Struthio camelus: one gene and its partners. The protein of the gene in region 2 purifies or fractionates together with the protein of the main gene of each other region. This does not show direct contact. Links are inferred from orthologs where the notes say so. Each region holds a gene or a part of one and is shown on either strand. Other genes may lie near its edges. The genes, in order: nuclear cap-binding protein subunit 1, ZC3H18 and FUS.

Evidence for each region.
Region 1: the proteins of ZC3H18 (region 2) and nuclear cap-binding protein subunit 1 purify together in Homo sapiens (co-immunoprecipitation; 3 studies listed by BioGRID and IntAct, with this or other methods). This does not show direct contact. The link is inferred for Struthio camelus from reciprocal best matches to the Homo sapiens genes ZC3H18 and NCBP1.
Region 3: the proteins of ZC3H18 (region 2) and FUS purify together in Homo sapiens (affinity purification with mass spectrometry; 3 studies listed by BioGRID and IntAct, with this or other methods). This does not show direct contact. The link is inferred for Struthio camelus from reciprocal best matches to the Homo sapiens genes ZC3H18 and FUS.

The regions. Positions count from the first base shown.
Region 1 is NC_090981.1:12,386,279-12,390,100, forward strand, and holds the start of nuclear cap-binding protein subunit 1, read left to right. Parts: upstream 1-963; 5' UTR 964-1,118; coding exon 1,119-1,152; intron 1,153-2,281; coding exon 2,282-2,367; intron 2,368-3,167; coding exon 3,168-3,268; intron 3,269-3,822. UniProt on the Homo sapiens protein: Component of the cap-binding complex (CBC), which binds cotranscriptionally to the 5'-cap of pre-mRNAs and is involved in various processes such as pre-mRNA splicing, translation regulation, nonsense-mediated mRNA decay, RNA-mediated gene silencing (RNAi) by microRNAs (miRNAs) and mRNA export.
Region 2 is NC_090951.1:2,518,901-2,522,722, reverse strand, and holds the start of ZC3H18 (zinc finger CCCH domain-containing protein 18), read left to right. Parts: upstream 1-1,380; 5' UTR 1,381-1,569; intron 1,570-2,246; 5' UTR 2,247-2,304; intron 2,305-2,357; exon of another isoform or gene 2,358-3,822.
Region 3 is NC_090973.1:351,587-355,408, forward strand, and holds the start of FUS (RNA-binding protein FUS), read right to left. Parts: upstream 2,292-3,822; 5' UTR 2,176-2,291; coding exon 2,163-2,175; intron 597-2,162; coding exon 572-596; intron 431-571; coding exon 276-430; intron 178-275; coding exon 33-177; intron 1-32. UniProt on the Homo sapiens protein: DNA/RNA-binding protein that plays a role in various cellular processes such as transcription regulation, RNA splicing, RNA transport, DNA repair and damage response. Binds to ssRNA containing the consensus sequence 5'-AGGUAA-3'.

The DNA of each region.
Region 1 (3,822 bases), on a different chromosome or scaffold from region 2:
CCAGCCAGTCTGAGGCACACATTCCCTTAGAATCAGCTAATCCCAGGCAGCAGCCTTGGAGAAATGTACCCCATTTACTTTAGGGTGGCAGGAGGGAAGCAATGCTCTGATGTGTTGCATAATCAAGGTGTGCAGGAACACAAGTTGATGACAGGTCAGCAGTGCCTGTTCCCCATCCTCGGGACAACTAAGCGTTACATTTGAATCACAACTCCGGCCTCACACAGCCTCTCCAGTGGCCAACAGTCCTCGGCTGCCCGACGTGGCACCACCTCTCAGGTGCCCCCTCCTGGAGGCAGCAAGGAGGTACCCCTCCCTGTACTTGCAGGGCTCTCCCATGCCCCTGGGGGATGACATGGGGGCTGAAGAAAGGGGCACGTGGTCTCTCCAGCCATTTGATTGTAGAGGGACAGCAGGGATGCATACGGCTGTACCTGGATCTTGTTGGCCTGCTTTCACCAATGCGTGGGGCCAGTCTCCAGCGGGGGGGAGGGGGAAGGAGCTTAAGCTTAGTGCAGTGTTAGCACTGCACCCCAAAGTACCACGTCTGAGATCTCATCTCACTCAGCAGGGAGAATCACACATCTCCCCAATCCCTGCATCCATCACTTTTCCATCGCCCTGGAAACGCTTCGTGGGAGGGACCCAGCAGCATTCTCGATCCAGCGGCTCAGGTAATATACATGCCACCAGGCGTCAGCAAGACAGCCCAAGAGTGGGGCCCACAGTGCGCAATTCACACGCATGGTGGGCCGTCTTAGCCTTCAAGAGAGGCTAGGTGCGAGCCAGATGGAATAAGTGAATTTCACTTCATCGATAATTAACTAACTTTGTGTCTATTCTTTTCCCCATTTTAGAAATCATCCGAGTTCCTAGTACTATGGAGAAGCAGGTAGAGCAGCGCCCACTCCCATAGAGTTGCGGAAGTCAGGAGAAGAGAAGACAGTAGCTTTTCCTCCTGCTCTTTTACCCCGGAAGAAGACTGAGGCAAACAGGAAGTAGGGAAATACTCTGATCCTTGTTGCATAGTCTCTATATAGTGCTCTTCCTTCTTGCCTCCTGCTGTGGGGTACGGTATTCCTGCTTCTCTGCAGATTTTGTGCAGTGGCAGTGCTGATATGTCACGGCGGCGGCACAGTGACGAGAGTGATGGTAAGCGTGGATGGATGGAGTACCAGGGTCTGGACTCCGCATGCCCTGTGCTTGGGGCCGCGTCGTCCTTGGGGCTGGGGGAGGAACAGATCTCAGCTGAAGTGCCTTTTCCCCTCCTCCTCCTCCTCCTTCCCCCCCCCGCGGCGCTGCCTTGCCTTAGACTCGGGGTGGTAGGGATTCACTCTGTCCCTCTGCCAGGACTTGGTCCTGCTCGTCGCCCTACGGGACGCTGTAGTGAGGCGCTCCATGGGGTGCAGGATCGTTCCTGGGCCGCCTTTCCTAGCTGTTTGGCTGGGGACAACCTGGCGCCACTGTGGGGCGCTCTGGTGTAAGGACCTGGCTTGTGTAACTAGGGCTACAGACTGTCCCTAAGCAGTCTCTTGGGTCCGCCCTAAATATAGGGAGTAGCAAACTGATCGGAGCACGCTGCGCTGCGTACGGATCGCCAGAAGGACATGTTCTTGTATCTTGTAAAGGCTTTCATGAAAAACGTTCAGAAAACATTCATATTGGAGGACTAGAGACGGCTTCAGAAACTGAAACGGATGTTTCTTTTAATAACGTAATTCTGCATTAGTGGAGAATGGGACAGTTTCATGACCAGCTTTTTCAACTTTTAATTGCAAAGATAAACACTCTAAAAAACACTCTATGTGTTTTTTAACTACACTCTTTTTTCTTAATTGTTTTGATGTGCAGTCTTTTTCTAAGCTTTCAAAAAAACCCTAATAATATAAGCAAGGATTCTTAAAATATTTTATTTTTTCATATGCTGAAAGCATGTGAAAAAGCACTAAGGAAATATGAAATAGCTGGTAACTCTAATGTGGGTTTAGCTTATCCCACATATACTGTCTCACACTGTAGCAGAAATGCAGAATTAACCCTAAATAAAATTTGAGATAGCTACAATGTTAACTGTTTATGCTTCATGGACTAGGTCATCAGTAATATGGGTATACTTCTGTTTTTCATGTTTATTGGGTCAATCTTGAATGCTTTGTCAGTTTTGGGGTTTTTTGTTTGTTTGTTTTTAATAGTATGTTGCTGGAATGGCAAAAGTATATAGAGAACTTTTTTCTTTTTTAAAAAGCAGGCAGCTAATAACATATTTAATGTATTGAAACAGGGCAACCTCACAAAAGGAGGAGAACATCTGAGCCATCTGAAATCGAGGAGAGACTTGAATCTTTAATATGCAGGGTGGGAGAAAAGGTATCAGTACTATTTCCATGTTGTTTTGTGGCTTAGGGTCCTTAAACATAATAGATTGTTTTCTTTGTTTTATATGCTGCTATGTGTTAGTAGTTCACTAGTGGTCCAAAAAGAGAAAATCCTTATCTGAGATCAGTTGGAAACTTTTTAACTGGAAAATTGTTGGCCTTTGCAAAACTGGATTTTTAAAAAGGAAATTCTTAAATGTTAAACCTTTGATACATTGGTGAAGTATAACTAATAAAGAGGTATCATTCAAAATCTGTGAACATTATCATTAATTTCCCCCTACTCCTTGGAAAATTTGAAAGCAATGAGATGCGTACAAAAAAAAAAAGAAAAAAGTCTAGCCGTGTTACAACTGATCTTGGAACCTGGCTGGGTTTGGTGTTAGTAACAAGTGGAGAGAAAAAAGGATGAGGACAAAAATGATGGGTCTTAACATTAATTTAGCCACATACAAGCTGTGAAGTTCTTTCACTTCCCCTGATGTCATTAATATAATGTTTAATTCAGTTATTGAGAGATCTCTGAGGCTATGTTAACCCTTGCTTCCCAGGAAAGCACTAGAGCTCCTTGCTGTGGAGAACTCACAATTGAGACTGTTCTTAGTCATTTCTACTTCTTATTTCTAGCAAATGAGAGAGATTGTGCATTCCTAATGGATTTGAATAATTACTTCCAACAAGAAGAAAATGTGAAGTAATATTTTGTTTCATCTGATTTGCTTGTCTTCCAGTTGTTACTGAGGGGATAGTTGATATGCCTGATTGATGCGGAAACACTGTTTTCTTTCTTAGAGTACTTCCTCTCTGGAGAGCAACTTGGAGGGCCTAGCTGGTGTCTTGGAAGCTGATCTACCAAACTATAAAAGCAAGATTTTGAGAATTCTTTGTACTGTGTACGTATGCAGGAGATTTGTGAGATGCTCTGTTATCTATATTAAATAGATAAGTTTAAGTATTTTAAGTACTTTAAATGCTGTGAAGAGCTGTTAGTTCTTGAACACTGTTATAGCTTAGGGTTTGTCTTACTCCAGGCAAGAGAAATTTGAGAAGAAGCTTAGTCAGTAGTAGATATAAATCAAGGAAAATGCCTCTGTACAGTACTCTCACTTGAAATGTGTGCACAAGGTCATAAGCAGATAGAGTAGACCCCAGAGCTGCTTTCTGACTGCCATGGGGAATATGCTGGGTAGTATCTTGTTTCTGAATGCAACAGTCACTAAAAAAATACCAAATCGATTGAGTGCCAGTTCTTATCTCTGTATTCCTACTTTGCCTATTCCCCTTTTCTGGGGCTGAGGTGCTCCTGTCTCCATGAGCCCACCATCTAGTAGTGGAGAGACAAAGTAGCCAGAAGTAGGCTCCTTCCTTGGCTAGCAGCACTCCTTCTTCTCCCTAGCAAAGCACTGAAACAAAACTTCTTTGTGTGTTGGGTCACTGGTCACGTGTC
Region 2 (3,822 bases):
GAGCACCCTGCGCTGCCGGCTCCACGGAGCCTGGCTTCCCAGCACGCTCGCCCCAGGGGATTCTCCGCTGGCTGCTAGTGCGGTTGGGCTGCCGCGGGCCCCACGGCCCTGGCTCAGCCCCTGCTTGCATGAGGCAAGAGCATCCGGGACGGCTGCCCTGCGCCGTCCGAGGCCACGCCGGGTCTGCGAGCCAGGAGAGCGGGCAGCAGACAGCTGGCTCCCTTGGGAAGGGCCGACGGGCTCGGCGCGGCGGGGTTGCAAAAGCGCAGCCCGAGCCTGAGGCGGCCGGAGGCGAAGGCGAGCGGCCCGGCCACAGTCCGTGGCCCGGTGGAGACGCTGGCCCCAGGAGCGCGTGCCCGGCCCCCAGCCCCGAACCGCCGTCCCTGCTGCTCTGGAGCACCCCCGAGGCGCCGAGCTGCTCCCAGCAAGCCCGGCACGGTGCTGCGTCCTGGCGCTCTGCCGCCGGCGCGCTGGGCAGGTTCCCTGCGGGCTGCCGCCCTCCGGGGCGTTGCCGGCCCCGGCGCGGGCAGCAGCCCCTGCGGAGGGCTCGGTGCAGAGGGCCTGGCCGCTGCCCGGCTGGGGGGACTGCCCGCTCCGTCCTCGGGGGGCCGGGCCCGGCCGCAGCGCCACGGGGAGGTGCTCCCAGGGCCAGGCGGGCTGCGCCGCTGCCGGGAGCCGTCGCCTGCACGTGTGCCGGCATGCTTCTGCGTGCACGTCCATACGTCCTCCACGTGCACGTGTGCACCTGTAGGTCCAGGTGCGCACCACCACCTGCATGTATGCTCCCAAGAACACCTATACGCCCAGCTCCGGGCGTGCACGCGTTTAGGTCTGCCTTAGCGTGCGCGCGCACACGTCTGCGTGCACGCAGGGGTCTGACTGCACGTTCACAGGCGCGCCTAGCTCGGCGAGCGCACCTGCACGGCTGCGCGCCCGCGGACACGCGTGTCGAGCCCCCGCCTTCGCGCACGCGTGCGCCCCTCCCGGCGTGTGCATGCAGGTGCTCGCTCCGCTTGCATGCCTCCCACCCCCCCCGCCTGCCTGCGGGAACCCCCCCGCCTGGGTGTTCGTGCACCCCCCCCTCCCCACCTGCACCCGTCTGCACCCGCCACGTGCGCACGCGTGCATGTGGACTCCTCCACGCGTGTGCGTGCAGGCGAGCCCCCCACTACCCCGGGCGCGCGCGCCTGCACGTGCACCTGCCCGCACACGCGCGTGTCCCCCCCCCCCCGACCACCACCCCGCCGCCAGCGCCCCACCCACGCGGGGCCGCCGAAGCGCGCGTCCCCTTTAAGGCGCGGGCGGGGCGGTGGCGGCGCGCGTGCGCGTGCGCGCGTGCGCGCGAGCAGGACGAGCGCGCCCGCCCCCCCCCTCCCCGGCGCGAAGGCCGTCGCGCCCGGATGACGTCACGCCATGGCCGCCCTGCGCCGCCGCGAGTAGAGGCCCCGGCCCGTCCCGCGCCCCGCGCCGGAGCCGCTTCCCCGCCGCCGCCCGCCGCCGTCCTTCTCGCCCCGGCTCCCGGCTCCGGCCTCGGCTCCGGCTCCGGCCCGCCCCGCTCCGCCCGCCCAGGTGAGCCGCTGCCCGCCTGGCCGCGCTCCGCGGGCGCCGGCCGCGGCCTAGCGCCCGCGAGGGGGGGCGGGCCCGGGCGCCGGGGAAGCGGGGGAGGGGCGGCCCCGGGCGGGGGGCGCTGGGAAGGGGGGGGGGCCGTGTATTTGGGGAGGGGGTCCTGGGATGGGGGGTCAGCCCCGATGGGGATGGTGTTTGGGGGGAGGGGTCAGCCCAGTGGGAGGGGGTCCTGGGATGGGGGGTCAGCCCAGGTGGGGGTGGTGTTGGGGGGGGCAGCCCAGTGGGAGGGGGCCCTGGGATGGGGGGAGCTTAGGGAAGGGGGGGGCAGCCCAGGTGGGGGGCCCTGGGAAGGATCTAGCCTAAGTGGGGGTGATGTTGGGGGGGGGGTCAGCTCAGCTGTGTGGTGGTGAGGAAGGGTTGGGGGGCAGCCCTGGTGGGGGGTGCTGAGAGGGAGGGGCAGCAATGGCTGGAGGTGGGGTGATGGGGGACAGCCCTAGTTGGGGGGGGACTGCTAGGATGGGGGGCACCCCCCAGATGGGAAGGCTGGGGGGCACAGCCTGTAGTTTGCGGGAGGATTTGGGTGGGGGGGGTGTTGAGGGGGAAGAGTCCTAGTTTGGCGGGGGGGGGAGTGTGCAGCCTGGCCACCAGGTACAGGAAGGGCTGACTGTCTCCCTTCGCAGGCAGGTGGGAGCAGGGAGAGCTCCAGAAAGACCTCAGCCTGGCAGGAGGCCCTGTGAGGTAAGGGAGGCCCCAGGGGAGCTGGGGGCAAGGGGGTGGAGAAGGACTGGGGCGCTGCAGCGGCCACGCATTCGGGTGCTTTCTCTGATGGGTCAGGAGCGTCCTCGCTGACTGCCACGGGATGGGGAAGTCGCGCTGCCCAGTCCTCTGGGTCGACAGGGTGGTCTGTGTGCTGCGCACCCGTGCAATGCCTGTTGGTCTCGCCTGTGCAGCGAAACAGCAGCTGTAAGGCTCTCTCTGCTCAGAGCTCTGGTCACTTTTGTAAGTGTTCCAAAATGTGGCTGCTGCGGGTGGTTTAAATTCTATGAGTTTCTTCAACAGAGCTCTCTCTTCTTCAGAGCTGTTCTTTTTGGGATGTGCACTAACAATTTTTTATTTTATTGCCATCAGTAATTCAGCTTTTCTGACACGGCCATTAACAGCGCTGTTTTGGCCGTAGCAAGAGCAGCATCTGCAAGGTGTGATTCTTTCTCCTGATCTTCTTAAGGTTTGTCTAGGTTAAGGAAAAAGGTCAAGGTCTCTTCCTAATCAAGTCAATTCCTTGCAAGCCATCTCATCCAATGTTCTGAGTGGAATGAGACTCCAGAGCGTGATTATTTATGAATCCTACAGAATGCAGGAACAATTGCACTTATTTTTTCTCATGGGAATGAGGCTCCTGTAATTCAAAGTTAATGTTCAGTGTGGAGCTGCAGAAAGAGTGATGCATGTCCTAGTAACAGGAGAATCCATTACACTGTGAAAACAAACTTCAGCTATTTACAGCTTCATTTTTGTTCATGTTCAGGTATCAGTCTTAAAGCCTGCCTGACACAAAGCAGTTGACTAGCACTAGTATGGTGTTTGGTGTTAAAATTCTGGATCAGACCTCTGTAAGCTCTTCTTAAAAAAAAAAAAAAAAAAAAAAGCTGAAAATGGCTGTCACCAAGTAGTTCTCTCAAATTAGTACTGAGAGGCAGCTTAGTTTTCTGCATTAAAAGGTTTTCTGACAGCTGCTAGAAAATTGAAGTTTGTTATGCATCTTCAAAGTCGGTGCTCCTCTAAGGATGTCAGATAGGTATGTATTCTATTTTAATTAATCCTGTTAACAATCAGAGTTTCATTCAGAACAAAGACCTGGGTGCTCTGCTTTTGTTCTACGCATCCTTTCGGCTTTACATGATGTTCCTTTTCTAGATTGTGATGCATCTTATTTCCTTCTCTTCCTGTTGTTGCTGCTCTTCCACGTTTTCCCCATTGTGATTCCCTCCATTCATTTCTGGTTTGCTTCTGTTTTCCACTTCTGTCCCACAAATGTTTTTGTGCTCTGTTTCTTTTTTAGCTTGTCCTGTCAGCCCTATTTCTCATTCTTTCCCCTCAAACCCGCCCATCATTCTTCATCCATCTTTGTGGCTTGACTTAGGCCATGCTCTAGAACTTCCTTCTCTTCTGCATAAGCCCCTGCCATTTATGCATCTCATTAACTGTAAATGTTTTGATCTTGCATTGAACCATGTTTGGCTACTAGAAATGAGGAAA
Region 3 (3,822 bases), on a different chromosome or scaffold from region 2:
CCGCCCCGAAACCCCCGCGGCCCGGCGGCTACCTGCCGGTGGAGGAGCTGGCCGCCGGCGGCTGCGAGTAGCTGGGGTAGGAGGAGGGCTGCCCGTAGGAGGTCTGCGACGACTGGCTGCCGCCGTAGCCGCTGCTCGTGCCGTAGGCCTGCGGCGTCGACTGGGTGCTGTAGCCAGCTGGGAGAGAGGAGGAGGAGGAGGAGGAAGGAAAGCTCCTGCGGGCACGGCGGAGGGGCCCCGTCCCCGCAAGGCCGGCAGGCGCCGGCCACACTCACTGCTTTGGGTCTGGCCGTAGGAGGAGCTGTAGCTGTTCTGCCCGTAGCCCGAGGTGTCGGTGGACTGGCTGTAACCGCTGTAGCTCTGCTGCCCGTAGGGCTGGCTGCTCTGCTGCGAGTAGCCCTGCCCCGGCGGGGTGGGGTACGCCCCGTAGCTGGCGGCCCAGCGAGGGAGGGGAGAAAGGCGCCGTCAGGCCCAGCGCGGGGGCGGCAAACGCCGCCGGAGGAGCCGCGGCCCGGCCGCGGCCCGGCCGCGTTCCCCCGCCCCGCGCGCAACGCCCCGAGCTGCGACGTACCTCTGGGTTGCCGTCTGGCTGTAATCTGCGAGAGGAAAGAGGAAGGGACACGCCATCGCGTCGCCGCCGTTTCCTCACGGCTCGCGCGACGCGTCGCCCGCCCGCCCGCCGGGATCGCCGCGTTTCGGGAGGCGGGCAGGGAGCGTCTGAGGCCTCTCCGGCCCTGGGGAAGGCCGGAAGGGGACCCGCCGCGAGCAGAGCCGGGGGGGGGGGCGGCTCCCACCCTCCCCCCGAGCCAGGGCTTCAGCCGCACGCTGGGAGCCCCGAGAAGAACCCCAGCGGCGGGGACGAAGGCCGACCCCTCTCCCCCAGGGCGCAGCCGGGGGCACAAGCACCCAGCCTGGGGGTGGGGGGGGGGTCCGTTTGCCCACCCCGACACGCTCTAACCTGGAAGGTGGCGTTTATTCCCCAGCCCAGCCCCTCACTTGTTACGGGCGCTACGGTTACGGCGCCAAACACCAAACGAAGCGCGCCCAGCTCCACCAACGCCCCCAAACCACCGTCTTCCCCCCCCCGAAAGCGCCAGAAACGATGTTTCCCCACCAACAAAGACAACAAGCGCTGATTTCTCTCCGCTTTGTCGGGAGCGGACCGTTACCCCTCCCCCACACCGCAAGAGGAAGCGATTCCCCCCCCCATCAATAAGCCCAGCAATATTCACCCAGGCCGCGGCGGGTATTTACCCGCCTCGGGCACCTTCATATTATCCCCCCCCCCCCACACACACACACTTTTAAGTCCCCGGATGTCGGACTGCGGCAGCCACCGCCGCGCATGCGCGCTCCCCCTCCCGCCGCCGCGCATGCGCCGCCGCGTCGCGCCCCCCTCTCCCGCCGCCGCCGCGCATGCGCGCTCCGCCGCGCGTCCCCCTCTCCCGCCGCCGCGCATGCGCCGCCGCGTCGCGCCCCCTCTCCCGCCGCGCATGCGCGCTCCGCCGCGCGTCCCCCCCTCTCCCGCCGCCGCCGCGCATGCGCCGTCGCCCCCACCCTCCCGCCGCCACCACGCACAAAATGGCGCCCGCGAGTGGCGCAGTTGGAAAAGCGGCGCCCCGCCCCCGCGCCACACAAAATGGCGGCCGGCAGCCGCGGGAACCAAAGGGCTCCCTCCTCCCTCCCCCCCCATCCCCGCCTTCAAAGGCTTCGCCTCCCTTCCAGAACCTTCCTTTTCCCTCTTCTTTCAGTCACTTATGCTCATTTTTCCCTCCCCACCGCCACCGCTTCCCGCATCCGGGCCGCCAGCAACACCCCCGGCGGCACCACCGTGCCGCTCCGTAAGCGGTGGGGGGGGGGGGGAACTACCCGTTATATCACCCCCCCCCAAAAAAAAAAAACACCCACAACAAGCTGCAAAAAAACCCGCGCACCGCCAACGCATGAGGAGATTAAACGTTAAAAAAAAACCCAATCCCACCCTGGGGGCCGCGCGGTTCGCAAAGCGTGTGGGGGGGGCAACACCCCCCCCCCATAACGATTAAAAAAAAAAAATCTCTATCTCGCTTATCGCTCCCGTAGGTAAAATTAAGAGGAAACGGGGCGGCGAGCGCCGAGCTAGGGACATCCCCCCCCTTCCCGGTACCGGCGGCCCCCCTCACCGTTGGAGGCCATGGCGGTGTCGCGCTGCTCCGGCGCCCTTTCTTTGCTCCCCCCCTTTCCTCCCCCCTCCCCTCACACGTGGCGCACCCGCGCCCGCCCTGCCCCGCACTGCGCCCCCGCCCGCCGCCCGCCGCCTTTTTATAGCTTCCGCCGGACCGTACCACCGCCACGCGCGGGCTCGGGGGGAGGGGGAGGAGGGAGCCAAGCGGGTTCCCCCCCCCCCCCGGTCGGCACCGCCTCCGCCTTCTCCCTCCCCCCCCCTCCCTCCCTGCGGGATGGAACGCGCCGAGGGAAGGGAGGGGCGGGGCCGGGCAGGCGGGGCGAGACCATTCGCGGCGGCGGCGGGGGGGGGGAGAGAGGGGGGAGGCGCCTGGTCCCGCCCCCTCCCAAGCAGCCTATAGGGGGCCTGTAGGGGGCCCTATAGGGAGCCTATGGGGAGGGGCTATAAGGGGCCTATAGGGGGTCCCCAGGAACCGCCCCCCAGCTCCGCGGGGACCCTACGGCCAGCCCTGCCCCCCCCATGGAGACCCTATAGGGAGCCCCTGCCCCATAGGGAACCCCTGCCCCATAGGGAGCCCCTGCCCCATAGGGAGCCTGTGCCCTATAGCAGTGCCTGCCCCATAGGGAGCCTGTGCCCTATAGCGGTGCCTGCCCCATAGGGGCCCTGCCCTATAGGGACCTCCTGCCCTATAGGGACTCTGTGCCATATAGGGAGCCCCTGCCCCATAGGGGCCCTGCCCTATATGGAACCCCTGCCCTATAGGGAGTCTGTGCCCTATAGGGAGCTCCTGCCCTATAGGGAGTCTGTGCCCTATAGGGAGCCCCTGCCCTATAGGGGCCCTGCCCTATAGGGAGTCTGTGCCCCATAGGGAGCTCCTGCCCTATAGCGGTGCCTGCCCTATAGGGAGCCCCTGCCCTATAGGGACTCTGTGCCCTATAAGGAGCTCCTGCCCTATAGCGGCCTCCACATGCAGCCTCCCCCCGGGGGGTCTCCACGGGCCCCTATAGGGTTCAGCCCTCTCCACGGGCCCCTATAGGCTTGACCCCCACTGGGGGGTCTCCAGGGGCGCCAGGTGCCGTCGGGAAGGGCACAAAAAGCCCCCAAAAACGCCTTTCTCGGGCGTAAAACGCCGCCCTGGGCGGGGGACGGCCCCCCCATGGCGTTGGCGGGGCCCCCTATAGACTCCCCCTATAGATCTGCCCCATATAGACCCCCCACCCACCCCTTCCCTCCCAGGATTTGGCCGCCCCCAAATGTCAGGGCTAAAAACAGCCCCGGGAGCCTACGGGGCCCCTATAGGGTCCGGTGCCGCGTACGGAGCTCTATAGGGTCCAGCACGGGGTAGGGAGCCCGCGGCGGTCTATAGGGGCCGGCCCCACCTAGGGAGCGGTGGGGGGAGCTGGGGGGGTTGTATAGGGCCTGGCGCTGGGCAAGGGGCCTATGGGGGTCGTATAGGGCCAGTGGGGGGGTCTCCAGGGGCTCCTATAGGGCCAACCCCGAGGAGGAAGGACGGGACCCCGAGGAGGAAGGACGGGACCCCGAGGAAGACGACGGTGACCCCCAGGGAGGAAGGACAGGACCCCGAGGAGGAGGATGGTGACCCCGAGGAGGAAGGACAGGACCCCGAGGAAGACAACGGTGACCCCCAGGGAGGAAGG